4 linked regions of the Neodiprion lecontei genome follow. The protein of the gene in region 1 interacts with the protein of each later gene in a pairwise test. Links are inferred from orthologs where the notes say so. Each region holds a gene or a part of one and is shown on either strand. Other genes may lie near its edges.

What was found.
Region 2: the proteins of rac GTPase-activating protein 1 (region 1) and kinesin-like protein KIF23 interact in a two-hybrid assay, tested with the Drosophila melanogaster proteins (3 studies listed by BioGRID). The link is inferred for Neodiprion lecontei from reciprocal best matches to the Drosophila melanogaster genes tum and pav.
Region 3: the proteins of rac GTPase-activating protein 1 (region 1) and protein ECT2 interact in a two-hybrid assay, tested with the Drosophila melanogaster proteins (2 studies listed by BioGRID). The link is inferred for Neodiprion lecontei from reciprocal best matches to the Drosophila melanogaster genes tum and pbl.
Region 4: the proteins of rac GTPase-activating protein 1 (region 1) and anillin interact in a two-hybrid assay, tested with the Drosophila melanogaster proteins (2 studies listed by BioGRID). The link is inferred for Neodiprion lecontei from reciprocal best matches to the Drosophila melanogaster genes tum and scra.

The regions. Positions count from the first base shown.
Region 1 is NC_060263.1:5,501,811-5,508,677, reverse strand, and holds rac GTPase-activating protein 1, read right to left. Parts: upstream 4,876-6,867; 5' UTR 4,695-4,875; intron 4,569-4,694; 5' UTR 4,520-4,568; coding exon 4,435-4,519; intron 4,100-4,434; coding exon 3,897-4,099; intron 3,790-3,896; coding exon 3,635-3,789; intron 3,546-3,634; coding exon 3,131-3,545; intron 3,012-3,130; coding exon 2,842-3,011; intron 2,751-2,841; coding exon 2,624-2,750; intron 2,543-2,623; coding exon 2,310-2,542; intron 2,202-2,309; coding exon 1,904-2,201; intron 1,832-1,903; coding exon 1,656-1,831; intron 1,568-1,655; coding exon 1,504-1,567; 3' UTR 1,500-1,503; exon of another isoform or gene 1,401-1,499; 3' UTR 564-1,400; downstream 1-563. Other genes in the region: GATOR complex protein Iml1, read left to right, coding at 1-257, 329-529.
Region 2 is NC_060260.1:1,077,512-1,085,542, forward strand, and holds kinesin-like protein KIF23, read left to right. Parts: upstream 1-1,968; 5' UTR 1,969-2,069; intron 2,070-2,134; 5' UTR 2,135-2,389; coding exon 2,390-2,400; intron 2,401-2,607; coding exon 2,608-3,183; intron 3,184-3,264; coding exon 3,265-3,435; intron 3,436-3,594; coding exon 3,595-3,793; intron 3,794-3,853; coding exon 3,854-3,992; intron 3,993-4,085; coding exon 4,086-4,285; intron 4,286-4,388; coding exon 4,389-4,493; intron 4,494-4,580; coding exon 4,581-4,666; intron 4,667-4,756; coding exon 4,757-4,887; intron 4,888-4,952; coding exon 4,953-5,056; intron 5,057-5,133; coding exon 5,134-5,238; intron 5,239-5,332; coding exon 5,333-5,479; intron 5,480-5,553; coding exon 5,554-5,730; intron 5,731-5,803; coding exon 5,804-6,040; intron 6,041-6,131; coding exon 6,132-6,323; 3' UTR 6,324-7,903; downstream 7,904-8,031. Other genes in the region: 26S proteasome regulatory subunit 6B, read right to left, coding at 1-306, 387-651, 745-948, 1,128-1,461, 1,554-1,646, 1,881-1,913; dnaJ homolog subfamily B member 12, read right to left, coding at 7,955-8,031.
Region 3 is NC_060264.1:21,477,820-21,482,948, reverse strand, and holds the start of protein ECT2, read left to right. Parts: upstream 1-2,091; 5' UTR 2,092-2,398; coding exon 2,399-2,465; intron 2,466-5,129.
Region 4 is NC_060261.1:15,614,824-15,619,771, forward strand, and holds the start of anillin, read right to left. Parts: upstream 3,021-4,948; 5' UTR 2,531-3,020; coding exon 2,513-2,530; intron 1,592-2,512; coding exon 1,465-1,591; intron 1,398-1,464; coding exon 1,197-1,397; intron 48-1,196; coding exon 1-47. UniProt on the Drosophila melanogaster protein: Required for cytokinesis. Essential for the structural integrity of the cleavage furrow and for completion of cleavage furrow ingression and proper formation of the midbody.

The sequences.
Region 1 (6,867 bases):
GGTTCGGTTTTGTACCGTGTCTGGTGGAGGGCACTGAAAATGATCATCAATACGTCCACGTTACTGGCAATGCATTTATTCTCGTACCGTCGACATCTTGTATTCGAGCCAGACCACGAACGGATACGAATATAATCAGACGGATAACGGGCCAGAAACGATATCCAGTCCATCCTGATCAATCTAGTCCGCACGAAGCATATATTACAAGGCATGTCAGTGGGAAGAATAAAGATGACTACAGTATGGACAGGAGGGTCGGTATATATACTTAATGTAAATATTTTCTATATGAATTGATATCAACTGTTCGTATTTTTTTATTCAGGTTGGCTTTTTGTGGTCATGGAATCATATGGTCAGTCGCAAGTGGAAATCGTTATCAACATCAGCGACCGGGGATGAGTTGTTTCAAAAAAAAATTATTCAAGATTTTAGAAACTTTTGTTCGAATGCGGACAACAGATTAAGACAGTACTGGGAGTCATGCTGGGAACTCAAAGAGAAAACGTGTTCCCGAACCGAGTAATTAAGCACATCCCAGTGTTCTGAAATTCAATGGCCTCGCTATCTGTTTTCGGGAATTTATTGTACATTTCAAAATACTATACGAGTGCTGGTTTGCTCAGTTTAAAATGATTCAATGAGCAACTAAGAAATACATATGAAAAAAAGTTGGATTAATCGTGGTAGTTTTAAGTGGGCCTATACAGCCTGAAATTCCTATTCTTGCCGTTACTGTACAAAAGTGAAATTTACAGAATATTAAGAATAATATTAACAATATAAGAAAGTCAGGTTTAAATCTTTTATTTGTAACGTCTAAAGTAATACATTAATTAATATTAATATTAACTACAAAGTTATCCATTTTATTAGACATTTTGTATTGAAAAATAAATAAGTATTTCTTTCGACAGGTCCAGATAATTTGTATGGAGAAAAAAAATTACATTGTGATTAGTGGATTTTTAATTTACACGCTGTCATCAATAGTGATCTGATCACTTGTGTTATAATACTTATGCGTAAAGTTGAACAGAAAAAAAATAGAGCTAAATTGTACACTGATTAAATTTGTAATTGAAAAATAATTATCATTCCAACACTATGAAACGGATTTTAGTCCTCATGAGAAACTAGCGCCGATATGTAAGCTCATATTATCAAAAGTAATTATCCAATTTTAATTATGCCAAAAACGAGCCGCATGCAGCTCAAAGAAGGCATTTCATTTAGCTTATAGCTTTGACAAAATATGTCATTATTTGATATTTTAATTCTAAGTATTCGTAAGATTTACTAGCTACAAAGCAAAAGATCAAAGAAGCTTCAGATGAATGGATGCAGAATTGAAAAATATTATCAAATTAAAAAGTACCTGTTATGTGAGTAAAATTCTGCTGGAAAAAAATTTAAATATACGGTTATTCTAGGCTAACTATTACACCTGTAATTTATAAAAAGAGGATGAAAAAAAGAATTGTAAAGCCATTCACCGTTTTAGTACCCGCTTTTTGATGGTGGTGTCGCAAAGTATTTTTTGTTTTTTCTCATGAACGTTCGGCTGGAAATAAATTATGGATTTATAGTATTTAATCTGTGAATGTAACGATCAGTAGTTGAATATTTTTTATATATTGATTGTAGAATACCTTGAACTGATAGGAGTATTGAAAAATCCCCTAGATGCTGTTCGTTTTAAAAGTGACTCTGTAGACGGAGTGTGTCTAAGTTCCCCAGTTTTCGGTGTTCCCACTCCGTTTAGACCTTCGGAGTTGACAAAATTTGCCCAATAATCTGACGGAATCTTCAACAGACTTTCCACTATCTGCAAAAGAACGCAAGTATTATTACTCTAAAATATTCTGAGGATATTTTGAATCCAATGAAAGATACTTACTGCAACTTGGCTTTTAGTTTCACTTAGCATTGAGTTTGGAGATGGTTCCTGGCAGCTATAACCGACAAGAGTTGGTCCGAATACTTTGGCAAGATTAGTGATCGGCATTTTGCATTCTGGACTGCTCGACACTCGCTGCAAATGGAGAATCAAGAATGCTAATGTATCGCGATTCGGTTGCGGTAATTCCGATATCGCTTGGTAAAGAGCAGCATCAGCATCCTGTTTATCAGAAATGGCCGTCGCTCTTGCAAAATCTGCCCATAGTCCAACTGTGATCAAAGGTTCGCGAAGAGTTCTGAATTAAGATGAAAGAAAAATTGTGAGTAAAATACCCTGCATTGCTCAAGGAATTGATAAAGTTATTTGTTGTGGTTTAATCTTTTTCATAATCCGACAAATGTACCTCAAGAAATCTTTCAAAGTTGAACAAATAGTCGGTATATCAATGTCGGAAAGGTTGGGTGCACCCTTTCCTTTCAAAAATTTGTCCTTCAAGCATTTAACGTCGCTCGAACCGCCATTCACCCTGTATAAACCTTGTTCGCCCATTCCCCTCAGTTCGACCTCATTTATGCAGTGTACCACCAGCGACGGCACCATGGGTGGTATCATGGGGGTATAATCTGCAATTGTACCCTAGGAAAGCAAAAATTGCTCACCTTGAATGGATTTCATATTTTTTTTGAATTGAAAAACTAAATGTTGTTCACAACTTACAGAAATACCACGCAAAGTCGGAGTATTTCCTGCAGGTACGCACGGTAATGGTACTAGGTCTTTACATTCGGCGTGAGAAGTAGCTCTGCACTCTCTGCATTTCAAAGCTACGCGTCCGAATCGAATACTGCAATGATAAAGTTGTAGTTGAATCAAATTGCCGACCACACTTCGTAATAGATAATCAAAAATTGTACCACAAAACATCGTTCCCTCACCGTTTGCCACAAGGAGTGCATACTTCTGGCTTGATAACAGTCTTTGCCGTGAAAGTGTGACCCCTGGACGATTTAATGTTCAAAGTATATCCACCGATATTAGGGCTGGGCTTAAATACACCTTCGGAATCTGAACCGGAAGTCATGATGTCGGCTTTTGGAGCTGAAGGCTGTATGCAAACATATATACACGGATTTTATTCAATGACTAGAAGTGTTTGCTGAATCCACTTTCTACTTTCACCATCCTATTTCATTCAACTCCTAAAATTAAGAAAAAAGGACCCACCTCCACGTCCATCAATGGATTTTTTGCATCCATGTGTGAACTTTTTTGTCTGGAGCGGTCAGCACTTGTGCGATATTTGTGGGGGCTCTGTTTTATTTGAGTATTTGGATCTTCATTTTCATTCCCAGGCTTTGCTTCAATCACAGAAGACGCCGTGATGGGTCCATCCTTGGGCAGAACAACAGTAGTTGTCGCTACTATCCGATCTGATGTATTCAAGTCTACAGCTTTCTGAATGCTGCTGCGCCTTTTCTTGGTTGAATATTCCCCGCTTGGTCTGTGCTCTTTCCATTCCCGTTTCTTTTGATTTTGCTGGAGCATGACACTCGCGTCCAAGTCGTCCTCCGATTTTGAAAAACAACTCAGATCGCTAAGCAGAGACCCGGTAGAATCCAATTCTGCTATTGTATTAAGCCTAGAAAAAAAAGTAACGATGGGTTAAAATTAAGACAGAGACTTTTGAAAGTCTTCTGACTTTCCTAACGATGCAATTTAGACTCTTACTTATCAGCGTGATGCAAGTCTTTTAGATGAACGTTGCTGCTGCGATTATTTAATGTTGTATTATTGAGAAATTGCAACTTTTCACGTGTTTCATCATTCAGGTTTCTACCTCCATCGTGTAGGAACAAGTCACGAACCATGGATATTTGTCGTTCCTGTGTAAATAGAATATTTGGCAATTATATCGAATTTTCATCATTTAATAGATACTTATACATGTTCAGGTATTTTGTTCACAACTAGTTGTTGAATTTATTATTACCAACGAGTTACGTTGATCTTCAACGATACGTCGTCGTCGTTTTTCCTCGTCAAGAAGTCGACGAGCATGACTTAATTTTCTTTCTAGATCTGCCGACTCTAAATGAGATTTTTCCAAAGCAGAATGAAGTCGCTGGCATTCCTGTACAGATGCCAACCATTTTTGTCGCATCTCTTCCTGGTTGATAGCAAAGCGCAGAAATTCTGAAACATTGAAAGATCGATACCTTTCTCATACAAGCATAGACTTTCTCTTAGATTCTGAGCACAGTTGAAACTTTCTAAACTTCGACTGGGTTAAAAGAATGAAGGGCTGAATGAGAGATAAGGGTATACGGGAAGCAGCTATCTCTGAAGATATCAGATGTTGCTGCAAGAGTAACTAGAGCACAGACTCCGCTGATGAATTATTCGTGGCTCTCTGTTAGTGAGAAAAGAATGTTCGTCTCAGAATAAAGTGACGTAAAAATTTATTCCGAATGTATGATCGTGGGGGGTAATTTCTTTGGGTAAACGAGGCGTCGATCAAGTGAGCTAACCTTCTTCGCACGATCCGTTGACGAGTACATTGGTACAACGTACCAGCTCATCGTGAGAGGCCAATATCGACAGTGAAGTTGTCATTTCGACAGCGTGAGGCTACCAAATTGCAGTGGCCAAGTACCAATTTGATCTAAAAAAGGAGAAAACGAAGGATGTTAAAAACTGACTGAATCGGACTCGCTGCCGGCTGTGAGTCTGTAGTTTTAGGCATCGTTGGTCCGAGACACAAGACGAGAAAATAATGGTAAAAACTCACCCTGCGTCCACCAAATTCACTTAACCGCTGTAAAACGCACCAGTTTTAATATATCGTTGTAAATACCGATTGACATAGCTCGCACGCGTTGTTGACGATCTCCGAACTCTTACACTATACAAGATACAACCGCCTAGTTTTGAGTTTGACCGTTTGAAATTCAACTAATCAGAAACAAGCGTCGTTGGCTCGCTTCACACTCCTTCGTTTAAAAGTTTCGATTTCCGCCGCACGGTAGCGCCACAGTTGAAGCCAACAAACGGTGTCACCTCGAATTATTTACGATTACTCGAACTACATTTGCCGCAAGGAAACGGCGCCGTCGAATATGAATGTATATCTCGTCAGGTCGTGAGATGTTTTTGATTAAATACTACCGTGCACGAGGGTGTTTCTATTCAAGTGTCAATAACAGTCTGGTTTATTCGTCGCGGAAGAAGCTCGTTAATCTCTCGATCAATCGTGGTATAATGATTCCGATGCTCAATTGTTTGATGCTAGAATTTTCGGTCTTTCGGGTATCAGGGATCGTCAGAGAGGCTTTCATCTTTTCAATTCGGCTGCGAAAAAGCAATCCAAGCAACAAAATGACACGGGAGACTCAACGTGCTCGCATAAATGGAATAACTGAGTAAGTGTGTATAAAACTTCTCTAAAAGACATATATATGAGTAGCTGTTTATCTAATTAAGAGGCATATGAGTTTTTGCCAGCCCATAAGAATTGAGCGAAGTGAGCTGAAAACAAAAACAAACATTCGAACGCGCAGTAATAACACTCGACTGAACTGCGTATATTATTATCATCGAACGATGCTGTTCGCGTTTCAGGGAGAAGAATTAAAGCGAATCGTCACGTAATCGAGCATCTTGCAGCATCAATTATTCGAAATAGTTTTACCCGCTGGCTCGAGGATGGTGGATCAAATCTGTGGGAGAATAGGAAGTGCCTGCTTAGTGGGTGGCAGTGCGTTATTCAGGTATGATTGAACTCGAGCTCTATTTGTTATGTTCGCATCAATTTCACATTCTTACCCCGTCGCTTGTTTATACAAAATCACTGCTATATGTACCTGAAATACCCATATATCCGGCGGTTATGCGGTGTATCTATACTAAAATGTAGAAAATCCTTTGTCTATTTATCACTTTGTTACCGATACAGTCAAGAATCAGTGAACCGGTTTACATGGGGCTTGAACCAAATTGTTTCTTAGGTCTGCCCGAGTAATATAGGCTATATATTGAGTTGTAAAACATGGTCCAATTAGTAATATGTAGGGAAGAGGCTCGACAAATAGGCCCCTTAAGAAAGGAATAACGTTAGACCAATTTCGACGACGCAATTTTCTTGTCTTCGGCCTAAAATAATATTTTAAACGTTGTCGATATTTTTGAAATCCCATTTGATTGTACAAGGACCCATTTTTCTCGCTAATACCCATTTTGCCCACATCTCCCCCTAAGTGTATACGTATTTCCAGAAATTTCCATCTTCGTGCTTCCCGGTTGTTTCTGTACGGGAAAATCTGGAGCCTGGAGGCTGAGGTTGAATCTACCTTGAGCCGTTCCACTTTGCTGCATGTACGTTTTACCGTATCCAAGGATCCAGCTTCGGTGAGTTTGGCTTTTCACGTATTTACCAGAATATCTTATACCTATGCAGTGGCATCTCTTTTTTTACATCCTGCCTCTGGACGCATTAAATCTTTGACACACGGATCAATGTATCTGCATAATTAACGGGTATATATTGAGGAAATTCTGGATAAAACTTTGACTTAAATAATAGTAGCGACGGTTGCCTGTGTACAGGCGAAATTGATTTCCAAACATCTTGATTGGAATTTGCTAGTAGATTAAGTCCTGTTACCGTGCGTAAAAATTTGTCTGAAAATTCAAAAATTTCATTCACTCTTGATTCGCAAATTTATGAACAATTCCCTATAAAGAGTTGTAAGTATTGCTACTGCCAAAAGCGATTAAGGCTACAATCATCAATTATACCAGATTTGAATGAAAAAAAAATTCGATACGTTCTCATTTTTTAGACTCACTTTACCATTCCTGCAGAGTAATTGTGTCAGAAATAAATTTTAATTTCGCGTGAAAAAATCCCTCACCTTTGTTGAAATGTTGGTGCAGTGTTTTGTGATTCTCGCTTGATTTCTCAT
Region 2 (8,031 bases), on another chromosome or scaffold:
TCGTGTTCCGACTCGTCCTTTTTGATGTTATTTTTATACCCTTTTTCAAAATCCTTTGCTAACACGATGTAGCGGTTTTCGCGAACTGCGTGCATCCCTGCCTCTTGGCATATCGCGTTTATATCAGCACCCGAAATTCTATCCGGTCGGGCTACGTAATCTTCTAAATCAACTTCTTCGCTTAAATTCATCTTTGTTGTTATCGTCGAAAATACAAGTCGCTTTTGACGCCGATCCGGCAAGGGAAATTCAATTTTTCGATCCAATCGGCCAGGTCGCAGAAGTGCAGGGTCAAGGGTATCAGCCCTGAAAATTTCACGAAAAAAATAACATTACCAGAATGACTATTACAAGAATAATTTTACGGAAACACCGAAGAAATTTACCTGTTAGTTGCCATAATGACCTTCACGTTAGTAGTCTGATCAAATCCGTCCATCTGATTCAAGAGCTCTAGAAGAATACGCTGAACCTCGCGATCAGCGCCAGTCTGAGCATCAAATCGCTTAGTTGCGATAGCATCAATTTCATCAACGAAAATTATCGCTGGTGAATTTTCCTTAGCTAGACGAAATACGTCTCGTACCATCCTCGGTCCTTCCCCAAGGTATTTCTGAACAAATTCAGAGCCGACGACGCGTATAAACGCAGCTGATTGACAGTTACAAGAAAAAAAATTCATGAGATATAATTGTGAGCTTGGTATCCATTAGCCGTGATAAGAAAATGGCTAAGTAATATTACCGGTAGTATGTCTAGCAACGGCTTTGGCAAGCATGGTTTTTCCACAGCCTGGTGGACCATACATTAGCACTCCCCTTGGCGGGTCAATTCCAATTTGTTTGTACAGCTCAAAGTGAGTCAGAGGCAGCTCTACAGCTTCCCTGATCTCCTGTTTCTGCATATCCATTCCTCCTATGTCACTGTACTGGATGTCTGGCTTCTCATCTGTATCAAAGAAATATTGATTTGTCAGTACATTTCACTTCATCATCATAATAGTCAAACAGTAGGTGCAACGAGTCAACCACACTTGAAATTTGCTGAACTGCGTTCAATGAAACATTTAGAAAAACTGTTAGGATTTGTAAAATATTTAAAAAATAATTGGACAAATTTGTATTTACCAGGTTGTAGCATAGATATGCTGGAGTCAGCCTCAGGAGGAAGAACATCAACAAGAGCATTACTATGTTTGTGGAGAGCTACACTCGCCGAAGGTTTCAATAGCTCACGGTCTATGGTCGAAAGTATGCGAACATAATAGTTGGAGCCGGTCGTTGATCCAACAATGCCAGTATTTTGATCTACAGCCTCTAAGAACTGGCCGATTACTAACGGAACACTCTGTATACGTTTCACCTCTTCCTGGGCATGTAAATACTCCTTTTTCAAATTACGTTGTTCATCTTTTATATACTCTTCCTGGACCTCAAGAAATTCTAGCATACGCTGTAATTTCTACAAAACAAGTTAATAATTCTACTTTAATTTCTATCCTTGAAGTAAGTAGCAAACAGATTCGATTTCTTCTAAAATGTAAAGTTATTCACCTTGTACTTAGTGTAGAGGTCCTCTACATCCAGCTCATCACCCGCTCCGGAATAATGACCAATGGGTGGTTTTGAATCAACCTCTCCGACGTCCTGAAACAATTATAATGTTGTTGTTCAGTCTCGTTATTCAGTAAGTATAATTCGCACAATATTTGATGCTAACTTTAAGGATATTTTCAGGAAAACAAGTTTAGAGGCAGCTGCAAACGAAACATTCAATGAGGTTATGGCAGTTTCCACATATTTCGGTTTTACGGCATTTTGAGCAGGATTTCAAAGAATAATTTTAATGCAAAACCTCAAATTCTCTATGAAATCCGTTACCTTGTCGGGCAAAACGATCCCAATTTCTTCCATTCTATCAAAACGGCTGCTTCTTGACAATTCGTGTCACTTCTTATCACAAAGGGGCCGATGACTGTGATCTTTCAGGCGTGACTCCATGGAATGGAGAATTATCTGTATCTCTGTGTTCACATATGCAGCGTACTCGTCTCGTTACAGCGCTACCTGGTGAGGACACCGTTGAATGAAAATTTTGCACGCGATGGTTGTTATATAGAACTTCTTACCCCCAGAACCGGCCAAACCACTCCAACCATACTCCAACTGTTACGAAACATAACCCATGGCTGAGAGTCTTAGCGGTGATTGGAGGACAGGTTAATGCACGTGATATACGCGTAGATTGTTTGAAGTTTGAATGGCGGTTTGCGTAACGAGTTTTTAGGCGTGCGTACCTGGAGTGCATCGAAAGTTTAATAACCGTTGTTTTCTGACTATTATAAGTGGATATAATTGAACCGAGAGTGATATTTCAGGCGGATACCACTATGAAGTCCTTGTAAGTCTGTTTTATCATATCCAGAATCGTCAAAGTTTAAAAAACGCCTGACATAGGTTATTTTGACAGATCTTATTCATGGCATTATCGAATGATCCGTATCTCCAGCCCTAATTAATTGATATTTAGACTTTATATAAATAAATATGATAACGCCTAACATACTATAAACTTTCATTTATCACATAAATCATTCAAATATTTCAGTCGCCCTAAGCCTCCAACCTCCGCAAGGAAACCTACAACTAGGCCAAGAGCTTACAACTTGACAAGTCGAGACCCGGTTCAGGTGTATTGTCGAATAAGGCCGATGCAATATGAGTCGGACACGTCTTGCATGAAGGTGATATCTCCCACAACTATAGTGATAACATCGCCAGAGTCAGCTGCCAATTTCAGGAACGGAAATTACAAGGAAATTCAAACTACGTTCAATCAAGTATTCGTCCCAGATGTTGGGCAGCGAGAAGTATTTAATACAGTGGCTCTTCCACTTATTGAAAATCTTGTAAAAGGCAAAAACAGCCTATTATTCACCTATGGAGTCACTGGCAGTGGAAAGACTTACACAATGACTGGGGAACCCCAGAACGGGGGAATAATGCCACGCTCTCTGGATGTCATATTCAATAGCATCGCCAACTTTCAGGCCAAGAAGTTTGTCTTCAAACCCGACAAGCTCAATGGCTTTGATGTACAGAGCGAAACAGACGCTATGCTCGATCGGCAGAACGAGCTACATGCTGGCTTTATGACTCCTCGTCCTGGAAAATTGAGTCGCAAGTAAGAATGATTGATTTCTAAAAATTGTTATTCTAGTGTTTTTGAATGTTTAATATCATAGATTTTTCACCATTGTTTTAGTCGAAAAGGTGACAGCGATAGTGACAGTAATCCAATGATTATAAGGGAAGCGGATGAATCACAAGTTTTGCCAGTTGAACATGATAATGTTTATGCCGTTTTTGTCACTTATGTTGAAATATATAACAACAGTGTTTATGATCTGCTTGATGACGAGGATGTTAGGGTCAAGTAAGCACTTGCTGTTCATACACACAGTCAAAAACGTTTCTTAAACACTTTAACAAAAGATGAATTTCAAATTCAAAATCGCATGGGTACCTTGTACATTTTAAGAATCGCTTAAAATTTAAGAAGGTTGTGCCAACTATTATTTTTGTTCATAATTAGATCTCTGCAGAGTAAAATCGTACGAGAAGATGGAAACAAAAATATGTATGTTCATGCAGTTACTGAGGTTGAAGTAAAAAGTGCTGAAGAAGCATTTGAGGTATTTCAACGTGGTCAACGCCGACGCCGGGTTGCTCACACAGCTCTAAACGCAGAATCTAGTAGATCACACAGTGTCTTCACAATTAGACTAGTACAGGTAATCATCGGGTTCATTCATTATTCCTGAATTATTCTAATAGCTCAATCTTTTACCCAGGCACCGCTAGACTGTCAAGGTGAACAAGTAATACAAGATAAAAGAGTGATCTGTATTAGTCAACTTTCCCTGGTTGATCTTGCCGGAAGTGAGCGAACAAACCGAACTAAAAATACAGGTCAAAGACTGAGAGAAGCAGGTAAGTTGTCTTTAACTATTGATAGTATTAAGAATGAATTTTCAAATTTTTTAAATTCGTCAGCTGATGTTTGCCAACTTCTTACACATTTAGGAAACATAAATAATTCGCTGATGACACTTCGTTCATGCCTGGAAATATTGAGAGAAAATCAAACTCAAGGAACAAATAAAATGGTTCCTTACAGAGATTCTAAGCTCACACACCTATTCAAAAATTATTTCGATGGTGAAGGACAAGTCCGAATGATAGTCTGTGTCAATCCCAGAGCAGATGACTACGATGAGACAATCGTACGTTTGTTGAAACATATATCCAATATGTACCTCCAATTTCTCATGTTCCATTCCTTGGTCACTTAAATATTTTCATGTTTTCTTCTGATGCATGGGACAGCAAGTAATGAAGTTTGCGGAAATGACCCAAGAGGTACAAGTCACCCGACCGACAGCCACGAAATTGGACCTTGGTTTTACACCTGGGCGGAGACAAGCCAACAAGGTAAATTGCACAGATTGCATATAAATAATATTGGTGGTTATGAAATCACATGTGAGAATGATGATGGCGTTTCAAACAAATTCTCAGATATTCAAAGAAGCTAAAAGTAGATTGGAGAAAGAGAGGCGACTTGATACTGGAGATCTGGAAGTTGATCTAGGACTAGTATACAGGTATTATAATTCACCAATTCATATCGCTCTCCAGAGATGCCCATCTATTTACTTGATAATTTTTTAATCGTCCATACTCCGTCACTTCAGCTTGGGAGGTCCGTTCCCAGAATTGGAAATAAATAGTCCACTCAACGATCAGATAATCACTACTCTCATGCAATTCTTGGAGCAGCGCATCAACAAAAGAAATATCTTACGATCAGATCTGGAACAAAAACGTAAGTTTGGTCTTGCCACCATGTTTACTGTTACATACATATTAATTTTTGTCATCGCATTTCAGAAACGGACTTCAGAAAAATGCTACTAACACTGGAGCAGGAAAATATGACTCTAAAAGTTGAAAATGCATCTGCAAAAGCATTTAATAACCAGGAGAAAAAGAAGGTAATCTCTTCGTACAGTTCAGTCCGTGTTTTACCTCAAGTAGAGTATATCTTCAATTAAACTTGTTCTCTTGGTAGGTTTCAGCTTTAGAAGGTCATATTTGTAAAACAGAGGCACAGATAGATAGCTTACTCCGTAAATTGAACAGTGCCAATGATACAATAAGAACGTTGCAACAAGAGGTGAGTTGAACTTTGAGTTTCTAATGGATTTTGTACTACACGATTTTCAAATTCTACTTATTTCACCATACATGAATATTTGTTCTACTTTTAGTTAAAAGATAGAGACATGGTGCTAAATCAACGAGTAATAGATAAGCAAAGAGTAAAGCAAAAATACAACAGCAAAATTCAGGCAGAAACTGAGAAAATGTCGCGAGAATTGGATATAAAACTGCGACAACAGCGGCAACATTTACAGGTATATGAGTTCACGTGTCCATGTACAGTTGTCAAGGAGAAATTTATTCATATTTTGATCCTGTATTTTTCCAGAACCAAATGAAAGAAAAAGAAGACAAACTGCGCCTTGTAAAGCAAATTTTGGTAGATGAAACAAGTGGCACTTCACTGGGAATTCCTGTTAAAGATACTGTAGCTGTACCCCAGACTCTTAGTGACGCTGGTGAAGCTGCAACGCCAAGATCTGGAAATACTCATGTATCTCGAAAGGTATGGCATAAAAAAATATAGAGAGAATAAATCGAAGAACACATTTCACATATAGTCTACCATTTTCTCACAGGATAAAGTGCCAGTGGCAAATCTTAGACACAGACGATCACAGAGTGCCGACAGATGGGTTGACCACAGACCCGGAGCTTTAGTTCCTGTTGGCACTGTTCTTCAACCTTTGATGAATCGTCGTCGCAGCATTACTCGGCTCACTGATCCAAAAGCTATCACTGAAGGAGCATCCCGATATTGTCTAGTAGCCCAAGAACACGATACCGATGGAGAGCTGGAAACTAAACTATACAAGGTGAGTTCTGAATGTTAGAAATTAGTAGTAATAGTTCGATTTTCACTTCGTCGTAGTTCATTCCTAAATTCTTCAATGTATATTTTTGCAGGGTGACATTGTTCCAACGAGTGGTGGTGGCGCTCAAGTAGTATTCAACGACGTTGAATGTTTGAAGCAAATGTCTCCTACAGCGAGGAGAAAGCGTAGCGGAGCTCCAAATTCCCAAATTAATGGACACACAGATTCTTCTGAACATTGTTCTACGGCCGTAGAAGCTCACACAAAAAGGCCTCGAATGTAGAATGTCGTTATCTTGCCTCTCTCCTATCATCAATCGAGTAACATGTATGAAGACTGTTCTGTTAATTTAACTGAAAAATTATGACATTTCCGAAGTGACCTCGCATAACAAACATATCGCACTCCCAGACAATGTAATCGTTGACCTCTACTTATTTTAATTCTTTTTATAATCGTAACGTTGAAATTTAAGTTAGTAGTTTTTTTTTCTTCACTTAGTTTGTTATGTACTTCTTGAATCGTTATTTGCACACTTATGTTACTGGTATGAATCAGTAGTCTGTAGGAGAAAAAAGAAATAATATAGTTTTAATTTGCTATTAAATTTCATTATAATAGCACAAGAGAAAAAAATATTAACACGGAATTGAATTTTATTTTAGTTGTATTCGCATACTAATTATCGAGTTAGTAGGATCATTTCATTTTCCAATACGTTTATAATAATTTTATAGAGCTATGAAGAATTTAAGTTCAACATAATGAGAATGATACATTTTGATGAAAGTTTTGTGAGACATGGCAACAGAAGTGTGTTCATGATATATTCCACTGATGTAGTATTACATACAATAAATGCAACTTCAAACATTTTTTTGTAGAACGTTCCACTTCTTTAGTTTTAATTATGACTTGCACATCATACCAGAATGTTACTGTAAATTTAATACTAGTCATGAAGTTGAAGCAGTTTCATAGAACCACTGCACGAAACAGATAAAACCGTTTCAGATTAAGTTGATATATTTATGAGTTTTATTCTAGGACCTTTAGGAATATTATGATTTATCGATACAAGTAAATATTTTCGCGGACTCAAAATAAATAAATTAATCTCTGAGTATATTAAAAGTCTTACTTAGTTTTCTTCAATTTTTTTTCAGTCATTCAACGCACTAAATACGCCTTTGACATTCTTATTACCAATGTTCCGTCAAACTGTTTTGTAAGGTTCAACATTAACCAGTGACGCTCTAAAACTGTTTTTCATTGAATCTATGCATGAATTGAAAATGGCAATTACAATCCCTATTCCGCTAGTTGCATTGATTGAGCATTCTCTTTAAAAACCAGGGAAACATAGTAACTATATTTAACAACACGTTTTACGAGGTAATAAATAAATACTAATTCTTGATAAAAAATTTCTGTCATAAATTCGACTAATGAAGTGTACGGTGAATCGCTTCCGTATTTATGAGAAAAGCTAGTTGTCACATTCAATCAAAATAATAAAAAATGTTTTTTTCATAATATACATGGATTTTTGATGCAAGATTCTTATTGACAAGAATTTGAATAAATAGCTTTTTCATACACATATAAATTGATAAAACACAGTCTAAGTTTGATTCATTATATCCAGAAAATAGAACACCTGTAAAGAATAGTGGTGAAAAGCTTGAAGCCATGAATGACGTCATAACAATAAAACGTCAATTCACGTCCTTTCTGCCTGTTCTCAAGTGAAAATTTATAAATTCATGTATCAAGTATGGATTTTGTAAAAAGGCTGCACTTGGCTCTGTCTTTCCTTTTTCTTGCACCCGATACATTTCACAAATGCAAAGATAATATACATCTATCTACAAAAAATGAAATCAATTATCTTTTGTAAAATAATCATCAGTACTATGCTGTTTGCATCTCCTGCAATTTTTTACATGACGGTGTTTCAATGTTCTGCGCTCTCCGGAGTAATTCTCTAT
Region 3 (5,129 bases), on another chromosome or scaffold:
TCATCTTAGTTGATATTGCAATCAAAAATTAAAGCATGGATGTGGTTTTCTATTTTCACAGTTATCGGTTCTCAATTATTGTAATGTCTGAAAGTTGTGTGGAAAACATCTCATATAATTGCCAATTGCCGTTATGACGCTGAAGCTAGCTGATGACATTCATACGAATTGCCACCAAAGTTAATTGCTCAACCCTTACGCTACGCACTGGGGTCATAATGACAGCATGTTCAATGTTCTGTAACACCCTTGGTTTACACATGTTCAATGAGTTATTTTTCTCCATATTACAAAATTTCATTTTGCTAGAAATAGCTAATTTTCCTTGAAATATAATAGTTAAAAAGTATCCCAGAATTTTTTGGAGCTATTTGAATCAATATCTTTGTTTCTGAACAGTTATTTTTTACGCGGGGTCTCCAGCGAGCCTGGTGTGACAATGTTATACGCAAGAGGTATGCAGTGTAAGGGTTAAGATGATGCCCTGATGGAATCGCAGTAGTAATTTCATGGAATTCATGCTATTTCTTTATTTTTCTATCAAATGAAAAAATACTGGAGTAGTTTTGTTCAGGATTTTGTTTAGAATGGGTCTGTAAAGTTTTTTTTTGGGGTTGAGCTACTTCGACTTTGATATTCAGAGATATATACGTCGACGTCAAAATCGACCAGGGCACCCCCTTAACACTGTACAATTTGACATGAAAGGTTTCTTTGGTGTTGCTACTAGTCACATATTAATTGCTGTCGATCTATCAATAGTCATATCCGGTATCATTTTGTTTCCTTAGACATTTTTTTGATATGCATTTTTCAAACTGTTTGTAGATGTGAACCTTTAGACCACCGCTGATTTTAATCCTAGATTGTATATACGGTCCTGTTAACCACTCCAGCTGTTTTTTTTTTCAGTACCGTTTGGTAGTTGATTGAATTCTTCACCAACTAAACTTCAACAAAATCGGATTTGCTCTTCACCATCCATTTCCTTATTAAAAAACGAAAAGATTTGTGCACTTACGAGTCCTATTATTGCTTTTAGAACGATCTTACAATCGAGAAACGCGTGGGGTTGATAGTGAACCTGCTCACGCGTTAGAGGGTAGAAAAAAAGATACATGTGCTCTAGGGTTCATGTATATTCAAATAAGCTGCATTTAGATTATTTAACTATAGCTTGGCCAATATACTGACCAAGCGGCGGCCCAAAGTTTACAAGATATGCGCTTGTAGACAATTATCATTAAATATATATACATGACACATAAACATGAAATTATCAGGCCGAATTGATTGATCAAAATTTGGAATAATTCGCATTATAAAGGATAGCATTTTGAATTATTCCTACAACTAATTGTGAAGAATTTGCCTAGGGTAGCAGACGGAATTACCCCAGAACATCTCTCCTATCAAAAGCATTCTAAAGTTCCGATTATTCTGAAAAATTCAAAGATTTGGAATTCCGATTATTCAAATTTTTTCAGATCGTTCACAAATTTGAATCTTTTGCAGTTTTGAATCTTCGAAGTGATAAAACTCAATCTCATATTGAATGTTTTATGACCGTTGTCAATGTTTTAATCTTTCTGAACGGGTTTTCCATCAAATATCAACGGGGTTTGCCATGTTTTTGGGGCAACTGTACATGCGTTGAATCCCGCGAATTTGCGACGACCTGCAACGTGTTGACGCCTTTTTTGTTTCAGCTGTTCCGTCGTCTCGACGATGACGACGATCATCGGGAGGAGCGATTTGTCGACGCGCGGTGGCGATTGCTAATGATAATCAACTAATAAACTGCTAGACAAAAACGAAAAAAAAATAGAAACCAACAGCTACAAACCAGCCGAGTGAATAATAAATATATCCAATAAAGACATTGAACAGACAATCGGCTAGTAAATCATAAATAGTAAAAATATTCTCTTCCTTCCTACTTTTTCTTTTTATATATCTTCTTCCTCTTCTCCCTGCCGCCTCTTTCCCGCCTCTGACAAATGGAACGAGGCATGCACCTCAACAATTGAATAGCGGCAGGAGGGGAGGACGCACCTGACGCAAAGGTTCGTCGTTGAAACGATTACGGCGAGAACTGGAATTAACGGAAATTAGGCTGTAACGGCGGTAAAAACGGGTGAACTACGAAGAGAGGGGGAAATTTGAATAAAATTGAAATCGATCAGGAATAAAAAGAAGAGAATAAACAATATAAAAAGAGGAGGAAGAAAGAGGGAGAAACAGAAGGCGCGAAGAAACAGGCGACGGACTTCTTATTTTCGGGCAGCCGTAAAAACGACTGCGAAATAAACGCCGTCGTACCTGACGTTGTGTTGTGCTGTTCTCTCTCTACACGTTGACGACCCCGCCACCTCGACGCGCGATTACTACTGCCAAAATGGAAGAGCAAAGCGTGCACAGCAGTACCAGTGATATAAATAGTGAAGAGGCGGCCGCCACCGAACGTAAGTTACTTGCACACTTTGTTGAAGACACACACGCGTGTCTCCCCCTTCGTCCCTTCTCCATAACTTTCCTGTAAACTAGGGAAAAATTCAGCAGATACTTGTGCCCATCCTTACCGACCGAGTCATTTTCTTTACTCTGCATTTTGGGCCATGTTCTTCGGAACTCGGGGAATGTCCTAGATTTTAGTAGACGTATTGAAAATAAAAAGTGAAATGATAACTTGGTAGTATTTTCATCTTCTATTAACGCCAGAAAAAAACATCACCTTTACATATGCTCAAAATAGATTTCATACAAGCTCAGCAATGGCTATGAGTGACATGTTTCTGAAAAAATCACAAATGTATCTTTCCCATCCTTCCTTTACCAAGAGTTATCTGTAAACATGTTAATACGTGTTTGAGGCTTTGATTCTCTTGTTTTTGAGCGATGCTTCTGTCCTTTACCAACCGAATGAGTTTTTTATTCTATGCATTTTTGGGCGATAGCGGCCATGTCTGCATCGCCATGTTTGGGATCAACTAATCAATGAAACGAATTTTGGATAATGCTCTTGAAACTATTCATGTGATTGGTTCATCTCACATTAGACTCTATCAAATCTGTGCAATGTAAACATGTCCAATGTACCCAAGAAAGAGTAAAATGATGTTTTGGCACTAATGTCATATTAATGCCAGAAAACACATTATCACATTTATAGGCTCAGACTAGATTTCACATAATCTCAGCCAACTTTAGACCAACATGTTTTCTGAACCATCCAGAAGAACGATGACGTAGTTCGTAAAGACAGAGCTGTTGCCTGTTCGTAACATGACGCTGGATTCCTACTTTACCAAAAAAGATTATTGACATTACAGATTTTCAAAATGACCCTCAAACACATTCATTAAATTCAACTTCTTTCTTGCAGTGAATTAGTCGTTAAGAGATGAAAGCCATCGCGTCGAAGTTTACAGGAGAATTGAGAAAAAATAATAGTCATCAGCATTAGTGGGTCTTGGAAATATCCTATAATCTCATATTCTGACCTTTAAAGTTAGAATCGATTTAGTTTAATTAATGAAAAACATATTCTAAAGAATTGAGCCCTTAGTAGGCCAGAAAAATTAATTTCAGGATTTTATGCATTAATTTAACCCGACATCCTGTGACAAAAATGATGATAAATAAATTACAATGTCATGTTTTTTTAACGGCAGTGAGAGCGAGATCGACAGACTTGCGAGCTTTGATCGTGCTGATGATAAGATAAAGTTATTAAGTACCATCCCAACCCATCCACTCTAATTTCAACCGAATCATTACGGACCTGGGAGCTGAAAATTTCCAACTAGTCTGGAAATATGATTGAAAGCCTTAGACTCATTTATTTAGTAATGGTACTTATTTAATGATTGCTCAATCAAATGCTAAATTTGATCAATTATTTATCCATGGGATTACAATTTTTTTTTGCCCAAGACTCAGCATAAATTGAGCAATGAAATTTTGTTATTGCTGTTAACTGTATACATTTAAATATTCCATTGTCGGGGCCGAAACTAAATTCGTAAGTTTTACTGTGCATTTAACGTCTGCTGTAAATATAATTTTCTTATTTTTCTTCCCTCTCGTTCACTCGCTGCTGTCTCTCTCCTTTGTGTCGTTTCTGCATAAACAAGAATTTTAATGGACGGATTGACGGAACCTTGATATATCGTTTTATTATTTTTAATCAAACAAAATTATTTGTATATTTATGTATCTATTTCCTAGACATTGATAACAGTCGTTAATATAACGTACGTTTTCCTCATTTATTGTGCTGTTCTAGTTTAATTATTATTATTATTATCGTTATTATTTATTAGCGAACATTTTACATCAGTTTTCAGAAAAAATAATTTTCCACTTCTCCTTATTTCAAAATCTAAAACGGACAAGAAAAATGTTCTTTCTGTATTTGTGCATTTAGTGGTCATTTTTATTGTCATTTACATTATCATTTTAAAAATATGTATCAAATTGCTGCGAGCCCCGGAAGCTGGTGCGTTTCAAACAACATTAGTTAAGTTAACGTCTCGTAGATATTATATATTCATGCTCATCTCTCTCGTTGTGCGACGTGATGGTAATAGTCTAAGAGCTAGTGAACTTTTTAGTTACGTCATTTCATAAACAAAATTTTCCATCTTGTCATACTCTCTTAACATAGCTAATAATTGATTCGGAAGTCTGCCTGGCCTCCAGTACTGGAGAACGCGGTGGGAGGGGTGCAAAGGGTTAAAAAAATCAATTGAAAAACGTCATTTCATAAGCGCTAATTTTTTGTGTGGTAGCAGAGAATGATATTTTGAGTTGAATAGTAAAAATGGCAGACACCTCGGTCGCTGGAAAAATGGCGGCAGACAACAATAAAGACACGCGAAAATGTATCTAACTTACGTCATACTATAAGGGTTGGAACAAAAATAAACTTTTACAGGAAGTCATCCAAATTTTATATACGAAAGGGCAGACAAATATCTTGACCCGAACACCGTGGCAGACAACGAAAAAGACCGGTAAATCCGCGCAGATTTGGAAGCGGGCGCTATAGTTATTTTCGATTACCAGAATGTTATTTCGTTATATTGTTATATAGCAGGGTGAGGATATGTATTTTTAAGTATTAT
Region 4 (4,948 bases), on another chromosome or scaffold:
TTCCTCTGTTCTGTGAATTGGCGAACTCAACTCACGGCTGCAATCCTCTGAAGAAATATATGTTCAAGTAATTCGATACATCACATTTGCAATCCTCAAAGCTATACTAAAACACTGTTCAATATTTTCTAATATAAATCAAAACTCCAAATGAATCTTAACTACTGAAAAGAATAGGTAATAAAAAGATTGAAAGTTTACGATATTCTGTCCTGAAATTTCTCGAACAGGAAAACATTTTTTACATCCAAGTTTTGATGGTTGTCAGATTTTATTATTGTTATTAGGATATCTCATTGACTTAGATCTGATTTTTCTGTTCACTTCAAGTCATAAAACTTAAGTCACAAATCATTACTTTTGTTTCGCAGGCAAAAGATATTTTCAGAAATTTTCAGTAATTTCTAAAAATTTACTCAGAATGCATATTTCTAAAAGATTTTCTATTTCGCTTAAAATATTTCAGACAAATTCGCATAAATTCCTAGGAGTTGTTCCGAAGTATCTCAATTTCTGTGCAGAAAATTAATTTCAACAGGTTTATCGAAAAACTTCGATATTTATTAAAAATTACTGTCAAAAATTTTCACACTTCTAGTTTGACTAAAATTATTGTTTTAGATATATCCAGATTTTTCAATGGCATTTCAGAAACATTCATATGCAACTGTTTCCTATGAAATTCCATACCGAAGTATGCTCAAAAAATATACAGGAACACCAGAAATCCGATTTTTTCAGATTTGTAATGCAAAATGGAGTTTCAAAAAAACTTGAGTTTCTCATAGAAATTGGTACAATTTTCACCTCTAACTTCACTTGGACAGAGACAGTCTAGAAGACAAAAATCTCAAGTTTATCAGATCTTTAAAAACTCTGTGGAATTTCTTCAAATCCCTTAGACTGATAGAATAATTCAAACTATTCCAGAAGTACTACAGAATTTTGCTTAGGACAGTCCAAAAACTAGATATATTTCTGAAAAATTCATTTAAAAAATTCTGAGAACTTTCCAATAATTCTCTCACTTGGGAATATAGTGATAATTAAAAGGTATGAGATATTGTGATCGGTACTTATTACAGATAGATGCTATGGCATCTGCCATAGTAGTACCATATCTATATTGTATGCAGGAACCAGTTTATGATATCAATGTGTGTAGGTGTGACAGCACCAACCAAGCAACAACTTACCAGAGTATAGCTTGCCCAGCCTTTGTAGTTTGGATCTGACACCGGATATTTGAGTCTCTCCATTCTCTTTGTTGGATACTTTGCCTTCTTGAGTTGTGATAGGAATTTTAGTAGGAGAAAATTTTCTCGGTGATTTAATCGGCGATTGCTTAACGGGAGAATCTTTAACCACTGGTTTAGCTGCCACATTGTGTTCCAGTACTAAAAGGCACAATACAACATCAAATAATGCAAATTGAACATGAGAGACACAAATGAATTAACGTACCTGGAGCCTGTGCCAAAATGGCATTAGCATCCTTCAGTGGACTGCGCCTCTTTTTGGGATCATGACCAGCATTTGACAATTGCGTGTCTAATTTTTCCCTCCTTGCTTTCGCACGCTCCAACATTCGCTAAAGTAAGCCAAAAAACTCGGATATCATAATTCACACGATGATGGTAGTAGATTAGCATAATAAAACAGTAAGAGGTATAATTCTGTACTTTTCTCACTTCTATTTAGACTTTTCATACATGCAGAAGAAACATAAGGGATTATTTTCCCTAATTAGCAAGTACAAAATCTGGCCAGGAAAGTTTTGAGCAGCTAAAATAATGAAAAGGGGTCTCAGACCTAGTAGTTGAGGTTGATAAGGTTTAATTTAACTAAAACAATATTATCTGAACACAGAGGAGCAGAAAAAATCGAGAAAAGCCCAGTCGTGGACAACAATTTTAATAGCACCATATCTTTGTTTTTAACCGAGAAGTGTGAAAAATGTGTCAAACAAATTCGAGAGCCTTTGATTACTGTCTAGACAAAGTAAGCTTTATTAAAATTAGACGAATTGGTGTCCGCAGAATGCAACAATAACCTAAAATCTCGATCTATGTTAAGGGTTAATTGCTTTATATTTACACTTGATTCAACTCAATTCGATCAAGACTAATTTCGCTTTGTGTTAGTATTGCTGAATAAGATTAAACCACAGAGAAATGCAACAGTCCATATGAGTTTAAAGTTCATAACGTTATCCTAACGATGCATATTCATGTGAAATAGTTATTTCACAAAATTAGTATGGTCTGAAATTCAATAAGACGTGACAAAACTATGCAGACTCAGATTTTGCAAACCCAACTTCTTCGAAGTCTTTCTAAACTGTCAAGATAGTAAGAGTTTTTCAATCGTGAAATTGTTGGGACCAGGCTACCTGGTTCATAAATTTTCTTTAGGATCACAACGGTCAACACGTGTTTGTATCTTACAATCCTATTCAATTCCAGACAAATAATGCCTCGGATCAGGTATAATTCCGCATAGCGTCGCTTACCTGAGTGAAGGGATCCATTGTTTAATTTTGGGCAGAAATTTAGAAAATTTCAGCACGCACGCTTGAAATCGTGACCCGACGTTTTCCGTCCTACGAAGAGCTCAGAGCGACGCGAATATACTTATTTATCTCGGGAAATAAGTGCAATAATATCAACGCACGCCGCGCCCTTCAACCGAACTCTTCAAACTGTCAACAACCGTTGCATTCAAATGCAACCGCCATTTTACGCGTTACTACGCTCACTGAAGTGGGATCACCGATGAAATTCAAAACGTCAATATCTCCTTCGATTCTGATCATAAACTTGTCGAACTTCACAGTTGTGGAAAGAACTTCATCGGTTATTTATTATCCTTTTTCAAACGAGATACGAGTTTGTCTTCCAATGTACCGGCCCGTGCAATTTGTTGCGACGATATATTTTCCGAAGTTAAACGTGATCTTGCCGTTCATTTGGGTACTGAATACCGACTCAATACTGACTGCTCGTTCATTCGCATCCTGTATAGAGCCCAGCCACCCGACGAACGAAGGCCCTATAGTGGGGGAAGAACGTTCGAAAGTTTAAATTAACGGGCTTTCATTGGTCGAGTTGTTGGAATAAATGCCTAACCGTTATACGTATTACAGATTATATCTCTACGCGTGCGCACCGGATTTGAACGTTGGTCATTCGAATTTTTTTGTAACTGGTTAATCAATCCGCAAAGGTGGTAAATTGTTCACAAAATTTAGTACGAGGTCCGAATCCCCTCATCCGCGTTCTTCCTTTGGGGAAAAGTTTTCAGATATTTCTCATAATTTTGTTGATAAATTTGATAGATAGTTTTCTAACATTTCTGAGAAAAATTCTGTACTGTATACAGTCGAGGGTTCTTAGGAAAACTAAGAAACTCGGAGAAATTTCCATTCTAAGATAATTCGTAAAAATTTAGTTTCAGTCAACGCTTGACAACCAAATGCAGCACCATTGGTCAAAGAAATGTATTCAACCCCATAAAGTTGTTGCTGGGATACCTGCAAATGTTTTTGTGTTATGGAATTTCTTCAAATAACCTCGTAATAATAAATATACATATAAATATTGAAGCCTGTATCTGAGCGTCAATCGATAGTTTATATTGTAAAAGAAGCTACTCAAGATTGAATTTGGTGAACATTATAATGAGAATTTTAAACGACGTTTGACAACTCATGCACCCAGTTCTGTGAAAGTAATATACCATAATGATTATCATATATATACAGGTAAAAAACTAGAATGGAAGAGAACATCATACGGACTTTTCGGCCGAATACCCTAAGAATTCATCCTAGCGAACCAAATTTCGAAACTGCAAATCCAAATATTAAGATGGATTATGTTGCAATACTATTATTCATTGGGCTGGTGGCTGTGCAATTGCTCACGAGCGCCTTTATTGGATACATTATATCAACCATATACTGATAATTTGTCTCACGAGTTTAATAAAGATCACTGAAATAAAATAATTGAGACCCTGATTTGGCTACTCATTAATCATATACATAATGATTTCCTTTATATTGCGATCGAATCAGTTAAAAATTTTGTCAGATGAAGTATAAATATACTGATAGTAACTGTTGTCAAGTGATTGACATTAAGATTATTTTATTATAATCTTGTCTGAATTGAAATATCGAACGAAAAATTCCAGCACTCTGCTGTTGCATAGCCAAACGATTATTATAGAACTGTTATAATATTCTATCATGATTAATATTATTACAATTCAAATTTCAACACTTCATATACTATTTATTAGCTGTAACATGATTATTTCAAAACATTGTATTGATTTTTATTTCTATGCATATAGAACTATGTACGTATTCAAATGCTTGTTATGTACTTAAATTAGATATTTATTATATTATACTACACACGGTTTCATAATAATAATAATAATGGCATGACTAGACAACGACTAAATAAGTAAATATACAGATGTTTCGGATATCAAGATTAGATCCAGGTAAATATTTAATTTAAATAATATCAAATTGTTAGTACATTATATCTCTCTATATGGTTTATAATCTCAGTCGATCGATTTCCTTTACATATTACACATCTGATTTGAATTTGGTATTTCTCTATTTTGTAAATTGGCCAAAGATATTCCAAAATCATGGCTTCAGTCTAAGAAATTTTAATGTGCGCTATATGCATTAAATATAGGTTATAGCATTATGATTTGTGCTGTATCACCACGGCAGTCAGTATATTTTACATGTTGTAATGCGCGAAAAAGAGCCTTATCAGATCCTACTCCTTAAGTAGACTTCAAAGAGCTGAGAGAATCGTGGCGTTATTTAATTCAAGCTCTTGGAAGATATAATTATGCGTATTACATTGATTGCTGCCAAATCGTTGAATCCTGATCTCAGCTAACATTTTGACATATC